3 linked regions of the Canis lupus familiaris genome follow. The protein of the gene in region 3 interacts with the protein of the main gene of each other region in a biochemical or structural test. Links are inferred from orthologs where the notes say so. Each region holds a gene or a part of one and is shown on either strand. Other genes may lie near its edges.

What was found.
Region 1: the proteins of S100A6 (region 3) and CEP43 form a complex in vitro, tested with the Homo sapiens proteins (2 studies listed by BioGRID and IntAct, with this or other methods). The link is inferred for Canis lupus familiaris from reciprocal best matches to the Homo sapiens genes S100A6 and CEP43.
Region 2: the proteins of S100A6 (region 3) and CACYBP are reported together in a solved structure, tested with the Homo sapiens proteins (2 studies listed by BioGRID and IntAct, with this or other methods). The link is inferred for Canis lupus familiaris from reciprocal best matches to the Homo sapiens genes S100A6 and CACYBP.

What each region holds. Positions count from the first base shown.
Region 1 is NC_049222.1:55,409,914-55,415,139, reverse strand, and holds part of CEP43 (centrosomal protein 43), read right to left. Parts: intron 3,554-5,226; coding exon 3,473-3,553; intron 1,240-3,472; coding exon 1,180-1,239; intron 1-1,179. UniProt on the Homo sapiens protein: Required for anchoring microtubules to the centrosomes. Required for ciliation.
Region 2 is NC_049228.1:24,276,909-24,282,914, reverse strand, and holds the start of CACYBP (calcyclin-binding protein), read left to right. Parts: upstream 1-2,706; 5' UTR 2,707-2,882; coding exon 2,883-2,903; intron 2,904-2,986; exon of another isoform or gene 2,987-3,005; intron 3,006-3,105; exon of another isoform or gene 3,106-3,254; intron 3,255-3,673; exon of another isoform or gene 3,674-3,762; intron 3,763-6,006. UniProt on the Homo sapiens protein: May be involved in calcium-dependent ubiquitination and subsequent proteasomal degradation of target proteins. Probably serves as a molecular bridge in ubiquitin E3 complexes. Participates in the ubiquitin-mediated degradation of beta-catenin (CTNNB1).
Region 3 is NC_049228.1:43,489,012-43,493,528, forward strand, and holds S100A6 (protein S100-A6), read left to right. Parts: upstream 1-2,375; 5' UTR 2,376-2,512; exon of another isoform or gene 2,513-2,631; intron 2,632-2,801; 5' UTR 2,802-2,822; coding exon 2,823-2,960; intron 2,961-3,289; coding exon 3,290-3,424; 3' UTR 3,425-3,527; downstream 3,528-4,517. Other genes in the region: S100A5 (protein S100-A5), read left to right, coding at 1,161-1,304. UniProt on the Homo sapiens protein: May function as calcium sensor and modulator, contributing to cellular calcium signaling.

The sequences.
Region 1 (5,226 bases), on a different chromosome or scaffold from region 3:
ACTTCTTCAAAATGTTTTAACCAATAAGATAATAAAAATTTAATACCATGAAATATGCTCTAAGCTTTCTTAAAAAGTGTAAGAAATTGATTAAAGGTATCTTTAAAAACATGCTGGTTTATATTTTCAGGTGAGTCTCACCTCTCCAATTAGCCTGTCAGCTGCTTCAGTGGGGACCATAATAACCTGGCTGGCCCACAGCCCTTAACACAGCGACTTTCTCTAAAGTGTTCAAACATACCTACTAAATAACACTCTAAAATGTCTTCTCGTGGACTAACACATAAAAATAATGTGAATAAATATAGTAATGGGAATTTACCAGTGAAACCACTAGAACTAAAGACAGCTAAAATAGCAAATGTGATTTTAAAAACCCTTTAATTTTAAAGGTCTTCAATAATCTATACATAAATTAAGGTTCAACGAGAGCTGAAGAATCTCACAGAACTAAATATTAAATATCTTAAGTATCTTATTCTAGATAAGGTGAGAAGTGTACTGATGAGTAGTGCTTCTAAGACCTGTAATATTTAAATTTTAAAAGCAGCTAATCTACTGGTTTAGTCAATTTTTGTCATGTTTTGGGGAGGGAAAAAAAAGCAGCCATGGCACCCATCACTGCAGTATCAGCTCGCCCAGCCCTGTGTGTCCCAGTGGGCCTACCATGAGCCAGGGCTTCAGGGAAGGCTAATCACTGTGCAATGGTCTGATAAGTTGCTGAATGCTGAACACAAAAATGTCTTGAAAGAAACTAAGTTTAGCCTCCAATTTATCAATTGGGACTTATCCAAAAAGCAGTTTCATGCTCTATTTACCTCAGATAAAAATCATAACGTTAAGAATATGTACATGACCATCCATTCAAAATGAAAATATGTATTTTCAACCTTTTTATTGCCAACAAAACAAAGAATTCTCCAAGTAAAGCCTGTTGACAGCACATTTTTAAAATCCAACAGTATGATTTTCACCTGGATAAAAATCAAAAAATCAAATTACTTTTTGTTCTACACCCCATGACTTGGTTGTATTCTGATTTCAGACAGAAGACAGTGACACTGGCATAGAACACTGAACCCTCGGCCAATAGGGATTCAGTGCCCGCTAGGAGGCCCACAGAGTTGGCGGTCTGCGGTGGCACAGGCTGCTTTTTCCCTCTGCCCTCATGCATGTTACCTTGGCACCAGACTTCTGCCCGCTTGTCTTCTTCTTACCTTGTCCTTTATACCTTGGTATCTGAGCATGAGAATAAAATGACATTTTACCACAAAGTAGAAATCTTTACAAAGAAAGTAATTCATCAAACTAATAAAGTTTCCTATGAGAAAAGCTCTCAGGAATGGAAGCCCTGATCAATATGCTCCTTTCTGAAACCCATATTTTTTCTTCTCATTCCTTAATTCTCTTCTTCGAGTGGTTCCACCCGTGTAACTACCGTACCTCACACCTACTGGGTCCCACGTCCACGCTGCGACCTTGCCCTGCCCCACAGCATCTCTGCGCTCCATGGCCAAGCCAGGCCCGGCCTCCAGAGCACTCTCCTCCAGGAGCTGCCCTGGCCTCACCTGGCCTTGCCTCACTCAGGAGCACACAAAGCGGGTTCCTGTGGATGGGGCTGGGCTCCAGGCTTGGCCACAACGTCCCACAGCTCCTAGTGCTCTCCATGGGCACCCAGACCAACCAGGTATGCTGAGAGCCCAAAATGATTCAAAGACCACTGAGAAATAAAAGACAGCTGGCAAGAAAAAGGTGGGGAAAGTGCTTAATCCCCAAATCCACATACCCAGAACTACACAGAACTGCCACCAGAAGGCCTCATCTTGAAATGAGTCCTCCATGGCACTGAGGGCATGGCCGCCCTCACAGGGCCTCTGCTGCCCCACCTCCGGCCTCCGCCACCCCCACGGGCCTCCAGCGCCCCCACGGGCAACCCACAGAAGGTGGTGAGAGCAAGTAAGGGGACACCTGGAGGGGATTGCCACTCTCCAAATCCACCTTTTAAAATTAACAGCACTTCTCTGTACTTAAGGCCACATTTCCTAACTGACTTAAAAGATTCTCATCATAATTCTTAGATCTTAAAAATAAAATCTGCATAGAGAAAATATGTCCAAGACTTTAATGTTATCCTGAACACACACCACATGTCAAAGGTTCATAGTGCTAATTTGCTTTACAAAATACTAATTTGCTAAAAAGAGAACTTCCAAACAGCTCAATGCTATAGGTACTGATGTTCTGGTATGTGCATTAATTTTAGCCCCTTCACAGCCGGACATTTTCACAGAAAGCACAGCTTTTTCACAAAGACTCCTGTATCTGACAATTCACTAAAAGGGACTTTTCAAATTTACTCACGACCTTGTTCTCTGTAACCACAGTTACAGCCTCCCATTAGCATGGAGGGAAAACCTTCCCCACAGAGAAGCTAACTAGATCTCAGAGAGGAGGGACACGTACAAACTGCATGATGGTCTCTTTCCTGGGCTGGAAATAAAGCAGAAAATCCTATGATTTGAAAAGATGAAATAAAAAAGATAAAAAGCAAATGCAATGTCACAGACCCAGGGACAAAACAACAGGAACCACTTGGTATCTAAGCCCAGGCACCTGCAAGACAGACATCTAGGCATACAACCCCTGCCCTCTAGGAGTCACCTAATGGAAGAGGCACAACTGTACTGCCAAATCAACACAGGACCAGGAACCACTGGTAAGCGTTGCTCTGACCGCGTACTCAGGGGGGCCTCACCCTAATCCCGCAAGATGGCAATCAGAGCAACAGTCACAACACAACCCGACCCAAACCCATCCTTAGGTGGGACTGGCTGCTGCAACCAGTCAAGAGACAACATGCTCCCTAACAATCACGTTCTACCCATTCTTGTGATCATGGACTTGAAATTTCAGCATTCCACTCAGTATTTTTCTCCAGTATGCCAAATCCCTGAAATCAGAAGGCCTTAACTTTAACAACCCATAAACCACACACACAACATACACACACACACACACACACAACCAACCAGAGCACACATATTTTCTTATAAATCCTCAAAATAGCGCATTAATATAAAAAATCATTGTAATTTGCATTCCTAAACTTGTCTCCTATCTACAACATTCAACACAATATTCTGGAACAACAGTCTGGAACCTAGGATCCTCAAGCTAGGAGTTCATAAATGAAAAGTAAATCTTGTCAACTAAGGAAGAAAATTTTCAAAGTATCAAATGAGTCCAAATATCCTAGAGTCCTGTGATTTAACAGAGCATTCCTTTCTATGACACAAAATTCCTAACACTATGAACAGCGTGAAATAATTTTCAATATACACTTCATCAAGCAGAAAAAAGCAATTTCAAGAAACTAAACAGCACTTGCATTGCAAAACAAAACTTGGAACAAGTCAGAGCAAGAGAAAACCAGAGCCCTGTAGATGTCCTTGTGTCCCTGCAGCCAACTCACCTTACTGGGAGCACTGTGTGCACTTGTTTTGCCTTCTGGTGACTTTGGTGGAGAATGTGCATCAGATAGATCTAGTGCACCCTAAAATATTTCACAGTTTAAGGTTAGAACATATTTTAAAGTAAAACGTAAATATACATTATGCCTAATAGATTTTTAGCATTTAAAACCACTACACAATGGTATCTTTAATTCTTTCTAAATAATATAATCGTATTAGATTTTCTCCAATTTTACTAAAACAACAAAAACAAAACAAAACACACTTAGATTCTAATTACCTAAGTATTTCACTCTGTCACCTTTCGCAAGCCACTCAGTCGTCAGTTCAACACACCCTGGCTGACCTTCCCACACGATCCCTTTGCACCCCGTCCCAGTGACTGCACCAGCACCGGCCAGTGATTCTCATGCATCTAGTCTTTTCACCCTCTCTTGACTCACTTCTCTCCTTCCTTTTGTCACGAGACTATCAAACAGCAGCTCATAAATCACACCACCCTCTTCAAAGAGCCACACTCTCCTTCTTCCTCTGCACATTCATGCTATCGTCTCATCTCTGGCCACCCCACTGCACTGTACCCCACCCTGCAGCATCACAAAACCACCACCTTCAGGGCACCAGCTGGTTGATTCTCAGCACTATGCTAAATGCAAAAGAGAAATTTTTAAATGTTTCTTCAATGGAAATAACCTCTTAAAATTCATCCACTACATCATAAGCAGCTATGTGCACTGTGTGCATATTACATATTGGTTACTTTGGTATAAAAATCCTTCCCATGACTATAGTTTTTACATATGGAAATGTGCTGCTCTTCATGCCTCCTGCTCCTCCCTTGAGCCCCATGACTTCTGGTACAGCACCATCTTCTCCCAGGCTGAAAACCTCATCTCACCTTTGCAAGCTTTTCTTCTTGCCATATCACCCTCTGAGACCCTACTCCTTTGCCATAAGATTAATTTGCCAAATCTTGCTCCTTCTTCCTTTAAAGGAGAATCTTTTTCTGCCCATTTATCTCTGCATTTACTGCCACCATTCCTGTCTAGATGAGCCTTATAGTGGGTTTCACTTCTTCTAGTCTTTGAACGTCTCCCAATTTCACCATCTAACCTTCACAAATTCACCTTCCAAACAAGTACTTCCTCTGTACAGAAGTCTGCAAAAGGTTCCTACTGACCTTGAAATACATCATCTGTTAAGAATCCTCCCCCTCAGGGTACCTGGGTGGCTCAGCTGGTGGAGCATCTAACTCTTGATTTCAGCTCAGGTCATGAGCTCAGAGTCAAGCCCCGCAAGAGGTTCAGTGGAAGTCTGCTTCAGATTCTCTCTCCCTCTCCTTCTGCCCCTTCATCCTGCACGCAAGCACTGTCTCTAAAACAAATAAATAAATCTTTGAAAAAGAAGAAGAGTCTCAGTTGGGCTGGACCCTGCAAAGGCTACAAAGGTGAGACCAAGCCCTTGTCCCCAGCAAAGGCATGATGTGTGGAGAGGACCAGGCAACGGCAGGCAGCTACCACACCGAGGCAAAGCCAGGCACTCAGTTACAACACCTGCCAGCAGGGAGACAGGAAAATCAAGAGGAAGCATCCCAGAAGGCAGAGGGCAAGACAGACCAGGAATGACAACATTCCACAGTGGGGTATGGGGATGATGCACCATTTCAGGTGGAGAGCAGATGAGAGGACAAGAAAGCAAAAGCCACTTTCAAGTATAAGCAAGCCTGGCTGAAACATATGTTCCACGTTTCAAG
Region 2 (6,006 bases), about 19 Mb from region 3:
GGATGGAATTAGAGTATATTACACTAAGCCACATAAGTCAGAGAAAGACAAACACCATAATAATTTCACTCATATGTAGAATTTAAGAAACAACATGAACACAGGGGAAGGGAAAGAAAAATAAAGTAACAGAGAGGGAGGGCAGCTCGGCTGGCTCAGTGGTTTGGCGCCACCCTCAGCCCAGGGTCTGATACTGGAGACCCGAGATCGAGTCCCACGTTGCACTCCCTGCATGGAGCCTGCTTCTCCCTCTGCCTGGGTCTCTGCCTCTTTCTCTTTGTGTGTCTCTCATGAATAAATAAAATCTTAAAAAAAGAGAGAGAGAGAGAGAGAGAGAGAGAGAGAGGAGAGGAGAGAGGAGAGGAGAGGAGGGAGAGAGGGAGAGGAGAGAGGAGAGAGGAGAGGGAGAGAGGGAGAGAGGGAGAGGAGAGGGAGAGAGGGAGAGAGGGAGAGAGGGAGAGAGGGAGAGAGGGAGAGAGGGAGAGAGGGAGAGAGGGAGAGAGGGAGAGAGGGAGAGAGGGAGAGAGGGAGAGAGGGAGAGAGGGAGAGAGAGAGAGAGAGAGAGAGAGAGAGAGAGATCCCTGGGTGGCGCAGCGGTTTAGCGCCTGCCTCTGGCCCAGGGCACGATCCTGGAGACCCGGGATCGAATCCCACATCAGGCTCCCGGTGCATGGAGCCTGCTTCTCCCTCTGCCTGTGTCTCTGCCTCTCTCTCTCTCTCGCTCTGTGTGACTATCATAAATAAATAAAAATTAAAAAAAAATTTTTTTTAAATAAATAAATAAAAATAAAATAAAATAAAATAAAAAAGAGAGAGGAAAGCAAACCATAAGAGACTCTTAACTATAGAGAATAAACCAAGGGTTACTGGAGGAGATAAGATGGCTAACGGGCATTACGAGGGCACTTGTTGAGATGAGCCCTGGGTGTTATACGTAACTGATGAATCACTAAATTTTACTCCTGAAACTAGTACTATGCTAAATGTTAATGAACTTGAATTTAAAAGAAAAAAAAAAGACGAGTAATAAAATAAATCACCTAACTTTAGACTACCTGGTGGTAGAGGGAGTTGCCCCACGTCCATCGTCAAGCAAATTAGAAAACCACTGCCTAAAAAAAGAAAAGAAAACCACTGCCTTACGTCAAGCTTTCACGCAGTGCAATGGCTTATTTGTTCCTATTTAAGTGCAAATAATCCCAGGCTTTTAGCTGGACACTTTTTTAAAAACAGGAAGTTATTATAAAGCAAAACGCACGTATCTTCGGAGTTCATTCCATCAATTTTGACAACGGTGATGTTTGAGCTTAACATTTCACCTTCTCAGGAAAACGGCCTCCTGGACGTACTTAAATAGAACTCCTAGCTAAGTATTCCATACAAAAAAATTGCACTTAAGTTTACAGTTGCATGAAATTTCTACAAAGTGAACACACCTGTAACCAACATCCAAATCAAGAAACAGGACTTTATCTGAACCTCAAAGCCTCCTGATGGCGGTCATTGTCCTCCCCATCCAAGGGAAGACCAGCCTGATTTTAAACACCCTAATGACTTTTGCTGGCCTTAGCCTTCGTTTAAATAAAACCAAACGACAGGAGCGCTTCTGGCTCCTTCCCCTAAGGTCACGTCCGAGTCGCAAGCTTACTAAGCAGCCCTGGTGGGTCCACTTCCCTGGCGCACTCCAGTCCTCCACCGCGCAGTGGTCAGCCCGCACCCTTCAGGCAGCTTTCACCCTCCTCACCTCGCTGACTCTAGTCGCTACCTTGGGCCATATGTACAGCGGGGTGAGGGCGGACTGGTTTTCCAGAGGTCACTAGGTGTTCACAATCGTGTTGCCGACGTTTTGCGGCGGCCAAAGGCTAGAATTATCTGAAAAAGAGGATGATGATGTAATCCCAGGAAAACTCAGCCTACGTTTTCTCTGGTTAACAGGCTCAGTTAAATCCAATTCAAGCCTGAGTCACAGAATGTTCGCTGAAGGGGACGAAGGTACCAGAGCAGCAACCCAGTCAACGGGGAAAGGCGGCGCCCCACTGCGGCCGGGCACCGCGAGAGCCGGGGTCAGCCGCCGCAACCCCAGGCGGCTCCACTGGGCCCTGTCACGTGGCCAGCGCAACCCCCACCCCTTCCCGTGGCGCTCCGTGATGACGCAAACATATCGTAGACGCTAAACCGTGGTGACCTCTCGAGGGCGTCGGACCCCACGGAACACCGAACTGTTCCCTTCAGGACACTAACTGTCAGTCTTTTCCGTTTTAACATAAAAAGGCTGCCTCTTCTCCCCCCTGGGGTCCGTTTCTCGCAAACGCTCATAAACTAGCTTTAGACAAGATGGCAGCCCTCCAGGGGACGAAACCAGCCGACTCTAACCAACTTCCGGTTTGGACCCCAAAAACCAGTACGTTATTTCCGGGGTTGGGTTAAGGCGCGTCATGACAGCGGTTCTGAGCTGCGACTGCGCAGCGGGGACACGCGAGGTCAAAGTAGAACACGTACAGTTTCCCGGGCGGGGAGGAAGAGGCGTTACTGTTCTCGAGCTGCTGGTTTGCTCGCGAGAGTTGAGCGTTGCTAGGAGGCTCGGCGGGAGGGGCGGGGCCAGGGTCGGCGGGGCGGGGCTGGGCGGGGCTAGGCGAGGCGGGCGGCGCGCGCGCGGAGTGAGGGGTTGGGGGGGGTGCGCCGGCGACGGACTCGCGAAGGTTCCAGAGGCGCCGCGTGCGGGAGGCGGGCCGGGTCTCGCGCCGGGTCGGGTGTGCGCGCAGGCTTGGGGCGCTGCGAGCCGTGCGGGTGGGGCCTGCGTCCGGGCGAGTGCGTTCCGTGCGGTGTTTCCTGTTCCCTCCCCTGCGCGGCTGCAGCTCGGGCCTTGCCTGATCAGCCCGACCATGGCTTCAGCTTTGGAAGAGGTAAGGGTCTGGCTTCATCTTCCTCACGCGGCCGTGCGGGGCTTCGAGCGCCGGCGCTCGCGCCCGTCCCCCGCCCCGCGTACCTAGCGGAGGAGCCGGCGGCCGCCTCCCTGGCTCCTTCCTGCGTCGTCGGCTCCCCGACCTCTGCCTCGGCCGACCCGCCGCCCACCTGCAGCGGCCCCTGCCGGCTTCCGGCCTCCGGCCTCCGCTGAAGTGGTGCCCCCGGGGAGCGGGGCGGGCTGGTCACCTTCACGTTCCCCTCAGGCCCCGCCGCTCCCGCCGGCCGAGCCCGAGGACGCGAGGCTGCTTTACGTAAACGCTGGCGGCAGAAACCGAGGTGCACTCCGCCGGGTGAGGCTGCCGGCGCTCGGCTTCCAGTCGCGTTTTCTCAGCGCGCTTTAGTGGCTGTGTGCCTCGGGGCGAGTTGTGCGCTTCTCGGCCCCACAGCAGTGTCCATTTCCGAGTTAGAAAGGCCAGGCACTACTATTAAATGTTGAAAACCCTGCCTGGCAAACTGTAGCGTGCTATGTGGGCTTTAAAACTAAGTAAATTGGACGGTTAAGTGTTACTAGCGGTGGGAAATAGCCATTTTCTCTTGTAAGCTCTGTGAAGTCTGAACAGGAACGGTTTAACTTTTTTTTGAAGACTTAGTTCGCGCACTTTCAAAATGGGAATAAACCGTACTTGCATTGCCCTTTTCCTGGCCCAAGGTGGTTCTCCATACATGATACTGCTGAGTGTTAACTAGATTTGTTCTCTGGAAATCTTTCCCTCAATATGAACAAGTTTGAGAAATCTCATACCTGACTTGGAAGTCCTTAGAATCTGCTGTAGATGAAGAAAATGCGTGTGTGCGTGGGTACGTATTATACTGGATCCCTTGCCCCGGGTCTATGTTCTGTCACAGATAGGCCTTGGCTGCCCGAGTGCCCTGGGGAAACCACCTCTGCAGTGGCTTTACGGGCACACTTTATGGATAGCTCCGTATTAGCCCTCTTCAAAATCAGGGATTTTTCCTCAGTTGAGGTAGTTAAAAATACACTCAGGTTTCTGGGGTTGTTTTTGTTTGATATAAAATTCACTGTTCAATCATTTTAAAGTGTGTTGTCCATTGCTGTTTAGTACATTCAGTGTTGCACAGCTGTCACTTCTTTATAATTCCACAACATTCACGTCATCACCAAGAGAAACCTATTAAGCGTATTAGGCCATCCCTTACGATTGTCCCTCCACAACCACTAATTGCTTTGTCTCTGTGGATTTGCCTATTGTGGACATTTCATATAAATGGAATCTTACGGTATGTGGCCTTTTGCTTTTTGGCTTTTTTCACTTAACATAATCTCTAGCTCCTCCGTGGTGTGGCGGGTTTTCCTTTTTTATGGCTGAATAATATTCCATTATATGGATATGCCACATTTTGTTTCTTCTTTATCGGTTGATGGACATTTGGATGATTTTTGGCCATTGTGAACTGTGCTGCTGTGAATATTGTGTACAGCTTTTTATGTGGACGTGTTTCCAATTCTGTGAGGTGTGTATCTAAGAGTGGAATTGCAGGAGCTCGTGAATTCTTTTTTTCAAAGTGGCTGTACCACATTACCACAAACTGTATGAAGGCATCAGTTTCCACCTACCCTTGTAAGACTTGTTATGGGGGGGGGGGGGGATTTTTGTTGATATTGGCCACCCTGGGGGTGGGAAGTGGCATCCTATTGTGATTTTGATGCACATTTCCTAAATGATTAAAGATGTTGAGCATCTTTTTTCATGTGCTTGATGTGATGGCTGTATTCAAACTCCTTTGCTTATTTTGAGACCCTTTGGTTTTAATGCTTCTTGTTGAAGAAATCGGAAATAGATAAGATAAAGCTTGAATATGTTTATGGGTGGCGGTAAAAGGAATGTGTGATTTTGCATAAGGAACACGAATGCTGAGGTAAATTAGATGAGAAACTGCTGTATCTATGTCATAAGTATGTGTGCAGAAAAAGTACCAAAGGGATCAATGTTACTGGTTTCAGGTCTGCAAATAACAGAACTGAGGAATTAAAAATAGGCCTGTTGGAAAGTCGCCTCAGAATTAGAGTGGCTCCCTTTTTTTTATAGTATGTGAGTCAAAACTGGCTGTAAAGAGGGCCTGAGAATCCCTAATTCTCAGAGTTAAGTCTGCTAGAAAAAAGGGTATCTATCCAGTCAAAAAAATAAAACATCTTGTTTAGACTTGATATATTTTCTATTTTGTTGTTGTTATTACCTGAATCCTTACTTGGGAACAAATACACTGATTTTACATTTCAAAATTTTTATCATATTGGTGTTAGAATCCATGTGAATTTTTTAGATCACCATAATGAAATATTGCTTCGAACAAAAGCATCTTGGATCTGTGCTTAAAAAGATGAAATTGCAGTATTGTCTTAGTAATATGAGTTTTTGGGGGGAGGCGAGTAGATAAATAAGGACAGGAGAACTGCCACAGTTGGACTTTTTATTTACCATCCTAGTAGTTAACGGTAAGTGAAGTGAGAGCATCAGAGTTAAATGAGATGATAAAAGACTAAGGGGTAGAAAGCATTTGTTTTTCTCTTCATTTTGTAAGACTTAGAAAACAAAGACTTTAAAACTCTACTTGGACATTATACTGAGTTATCAAGCATTTAAAGTTTTTGTTTTGTTTTGTTTTGTTTTTTTAATTCATTAGAGGCAGAGACACAGGCAGAGGGAGAAGCAGGCTCCATGCAAGGAGCCCGACGCCGGACTCGATCCTGGGACTCCAGGATCACGCCCTGGGCCGAAGGCAGGCACTAAACTGCTGAGCCACCCAGGGATCCCTGCATTTAAAGACTTTTATATTGCATTTTTAAAATATGATTTCAGGCTAAAGTGTACAAGGTCAGATTGCTATTAAGCCAGAATGTAGTTATTTTAAGAAAAATGAAATCCTTGTTTGCAAGGATCTTTTGCATTTGTAGTATATCAGAGGATAATTGGGGAAAAGGTTTTAAGCTGATTAATTATCAAAGAGTGTCTTCAACTATAGAACTTCATAAAATATTGGCCCTCTCTCTAGAAAGTAGAAATAAACACTGGTAGGCGATGT
Region 3 (4,517 bases):
TGGCACTGACATGGGAACAAAAAGGATCATTCTGCTGGAGTGGAACACAAGGTTGGAAGGAAACAGATTGCTTCTTGCCAGATGGAGAAGCTGGGAGGTGGCCGACGGAGGGGAGGGCCTATGAGGAAGTTATATTATTTTTATGGGTAAAAAAAAAAAAAAAAAATAGAGGCTCAGAAACATTATCTAGCTTGTCTAAGGACACTCACCAAGTAAGAGGCTGAGTCCTTCCTTTTCCCCTGAAAATCCAGTCTTGAGGCCTCTCCAGTCACATGGTCAACCTTGGTGGCCTCCTCAGAGAGAGAGCCTTCCTTTGGGGACTGGAGCAGGTGTGGGTCTCACCAGGCCTGCCCTCTGGCTTGCCTGCCAGGCTCCCTGCATTCTGGAGTTAATGAGGGCGAGGGGAGGGGCCGCGGGTCCCCTAGGGGTTAATTACGGGGGACAGAGGCCCTGGGGTAGGCCTGAGTTTAACAGGAGCCCAGTCTGGGGGCAAGGACCACGGCACAGAGATGTTGTTTCCATCTCCATCTGTCCTGACGCCCGTCTCCTGTGGAAAAGTGGGAGCTGAGGGCAGTAAAGAGAGGAGGGCAGAACGTGTCTGTCTGTCTTCCTGTCCCACCCAAGGGCCCTGTCTCCATCCTCCTAGTGGAGCAGGACTGGGAGAGCAGGGGACAGACGGAGTGTGGCTGAGCCAGGGATTCATCTCCATATGGCTGTGCCCCCCAGAAAGGGAGGTGGCAGTCGCTGCTAGGCCCCAACATTGCTCTCCTGGAGTGTTGTCGGGGTCAGTTCTCAGCTACCCACTGTGGGGACAGAAGTCTGGATCATGCTCAGTGCCACATAGTCACCAAAGCATTTCTGTTAGACATTGTATAAAATCCAGATGATTCTTTCTTTGGATGATGGGAAGTGCTGAGGAAAGGGGAGGGTGGACCAGCTTTCCTCTGGATATTTGCTCAGACTAAGAGTCAGGTCACCACATGGTGCCAGGCCTTGTGCTGGGTGTGGGCTGGGGACACTGTGGGGGTTGAGACGTTCAGTGTTGCTGACCTAGCCGAGGGTCACCCTGAGGCTATCCTCCCAGGGGTGGGTGGCACCGTGCACTGGGGGGCAGGGCTGAATGGGGTGGCTGACCTGTCCCTCTCCCTGTGCTCTTGAAGAAGATGAAAGAGAGCGGCATCGATGATCTGATGAGGACCTTGGACAAGAACAGTGACCAGGAGATCGACTTCAAGGAGTACACGGTGTTCCTGACCACACTGTGCATGGCCTACAACGACTTCTTCCTGGAGGAAGATAAATGACCAGGGTTCAGCCCCTTGCCCCTGGCCTCTTCAGCTGTCTCCCAGACACTCCCTGGCCCCTGGCCCTGCTCTCCCTTCTGGACGGACCCTGCTTCTGCCTTCCCTTCCAGCAGAAGAAATAAAGATTTTTCCATTCCTGGCTGGTTTTGCAGATGTCTTGGACACCTTGGCTGGGGGTGGGTCGGGCGAGGCAGGACTTCTCCCTGAGCTGAGTCTCCGGGCATTAGGGTCACCTACCTCCTGCCCTTCCCAGTGTGGATGCCAGCCGGCTTCCTGGGCTTAGTTCTGCCCTTCAGGGAGATGGGGAAGTTTGGGGCAGGCTTTCACTTGCCTTTCAGAGAAAGCTAAGAGGAAGTGCTTTGAGGAGTACAGGTACTGGGGAGGGTCCTGAGGGTAGTGGTGGACAAGCCAGCCTGAGGCTACCCCATGCCAGCTTCCCCCAGCAAGCCCACCCCACCCCACCCCACCCCACCCCATCATCTGTGCTTTCTGTTGTCTCCACTCCCCGCTGTGAAAATCCTTTCACTGGAGAGCAGCTAAGTAAGGCCAGGGCTGGTCAGCAAGTGCTGCCCCGCAAGAGGCTTGCAGGTGGGATTCCAGGCTGGGCTGTGGGGGTGCGGGCGGCGCGGAGGAAGGGCTATGGGGGTGAGGGTGGGGGTGCAGGCGGGGACGGAGGGCTGTGGGGTGTGGGCAGGAACTTGCTTCTGTTGAGGGGTGGGTGCTGTAGATGCCCTTTGAATCATATCCTATAGACCTGGCTGCTCCCTCTCCTTCAGCTAGGGTTGACCCCGACACCCTCTGGGGACCCCCGCCCCCCTCCCCCCCCCGTGGGCTGTGGTGTTGGCCGGGACCTCGGTGTCACGGACCTGCAGCGGTCTCGCCTGCGATCCCCGCTCCACCCTGGGAACGCGGAACCCGGAACAGCCCCGAGCGGGAGGCGGGGAGGGCTGACCCCCCTCCACCCCCCCCCCCCCCGCCCCGGCCCGCCCCGGGGTGTGTCCTGTAGACGCGGGCGCCCTGCGGGCTTGGGTGGGGGCGCGGGAGGGGCCGGGGGCGGGGCTGGGGGGGACATCGGCGAGGGGGGGCAGGGCGGGGTTGGGGGCCTGGGGGCGGGAGGAGTGGGCTCCGGCCGCCTGCCCTCGCTCCCGGCCGCTAAAAGGCGCGCAGGCCACCGCCCGTCGGTCCCTGGACGCTCTCCCGGCCGAGCGGTGAGTCCCTGCGCGCCCAGCAGGCGCCCACCCCGGCCCCAGGGGCCCCGGGCTGCCGGGGCGTGTGCGGCTCCCCTCAGGCTCCCCAGCTTCTCCCGGGCCGCTCTCGCTGCCGTCCGGTTGGTTCCTTGGCCACCTCCCTCCTGCGGGCCTCCAGGAGCGCCTCTCCCTCCCCTCAAGCCCTGGGCTGACTCCTGATGGGGACCCCGGCGACACAGCTGTTGGGGAATGTGGGTGGGCGGGGGGGGGGGGGGGGGGCTCTGGCACTGAGCAGCCTCTGCACCCCCAGCTCCCAGCCCAGTGCTCAGCCATGGCGTGCCCCCTGGATCAGGCCATTGGCCTCCTCGTGGCCATCTTCCATAAGTACTCGGGCAAGGAAGGCGACAAGAACACTCTGAGCAAGAAGGAGCTGAAGGAGCTGATCCAGAAGGAGCTGACCATTGGCCCGGTGAGTTAAGTCTCCCCTAGGCCCTAGAAGCAGGGTGAGGAGAGGGAGAGGTGCCAGGTGCATCTGACTCACAGTTACTACGTTCTGGGGACCCAGCCCACATCGTTTACTGAGACCGTTGGTCACTTCCCGATACTCGATACTCTCAGCCTGGTACCTGCCCCCAGTGAGGAGCAGGTGTGGAGAACCAGCCCAAGGTGGACTCGCATCTTTGGTGACAGGGAGAGTGCAGAGCTACTTGCATGAGTGAGGGCTGCCTGGAGGAGGAGAGGAAGAGAACCTCAGGCTCTCCTCACATTGAGTCTGGATTTCCCATTCTGTCCCGTTAGAAGCTGCAGGATGCTGACATTGCAAAGCTGATGGACGACCTGGACCGAAACAAGGACCAGGTGGTGAACTTCCAGGAGTACGTCACCTTCCTGGGGGCCTTGGCTCTGATCTATAATGATGCCCTCAAGGGCTGAGCATACAGCAGGAAGGTGGAGACACCACCCTCCATCGGGCCTGCCTAATTCAGATCCAGTGCTGGGTAACTGTTCAATAAATACCTTTCTTTGGTCAAGTCTTCCTCTGTGTCCTGGTAGCCTAGTGATTTATGTCCTGCTCTGCTTGGTTGCTGCACCAGCCATCAGAGTTTGCTCACAGTCACCTCTGGGGGTGACTTGCAAGGCCCCACACTTGGGGCCACCCTGATGAGGCCACTGCTAGGTCATAAGATGCCTTTACATGGATTCGAAAAGAGTCCCACTCTGGGCGAAGGCTCACGTGGTTCCCAGGAAAGAGGTTTCTGGGATGGGAGTGGAGAAGGAAATGGTGCCTGAACCTGGCTCTGATGGGTCTAGATTGGGGCAGAGAAAGTCCGGGTGCTGTACTTTTGGGATGTTGGTGAGGTTGGCGAGGTCTGGAGCCAAGAAAGAATTCTTGAGATTTCTTTGGTGCAAAAAGGTGGTTTTGTTAATGCACAGTGACGGGACAGTGCAATTGATTATTGAGGTTGGGGGAAGTAAAGAGAAGTTCCAGAAGGATCTTTATCAGCTAAAGTAGATTCACAGGATCCTGGGGGCATTGTTTTTGTCCAGCTAAGGCTGTTTTTCCCTCTAGCAGGGCATTGAGACAGCCGGGAGCTTCCTAGAGGAAGGTTCTGCTCTGCTGGCCTCAAGGCACTGCAGATAACAAGGGTTTTTTACATTTCCTTCTGCCTGTTCCCCTGCGTGGCTAGCCGGGGCCCTGAACCCCTGAAGACGATCGAGTTGCCTGTTTGGCCCTGGCTGTGCCGCAGTGAAGCGCAGGCAGAGAGGCCGCATCTGGCAGGCCCAGAGCCTGGCTGGAGAGGCCACCCGGGACACTGGATGGCTGCGTCCATGGCAGCTGCCCACCACCCAGTTGAAGGGGGGGCCTACTGTCTCCGTATTCAGTGTGTAAGTGTTCTTTGCATTGGGGGTGGAGGTCTGACTAGCTGGCAGCTGCAGGGGGTGCTTGGGATGGGGGGGGCAGGCTAGCCACGGCTTCTGGCCTCTGGATCAGTATTCAGTGAGCCCATCCCTGTAGCCTCAGAAT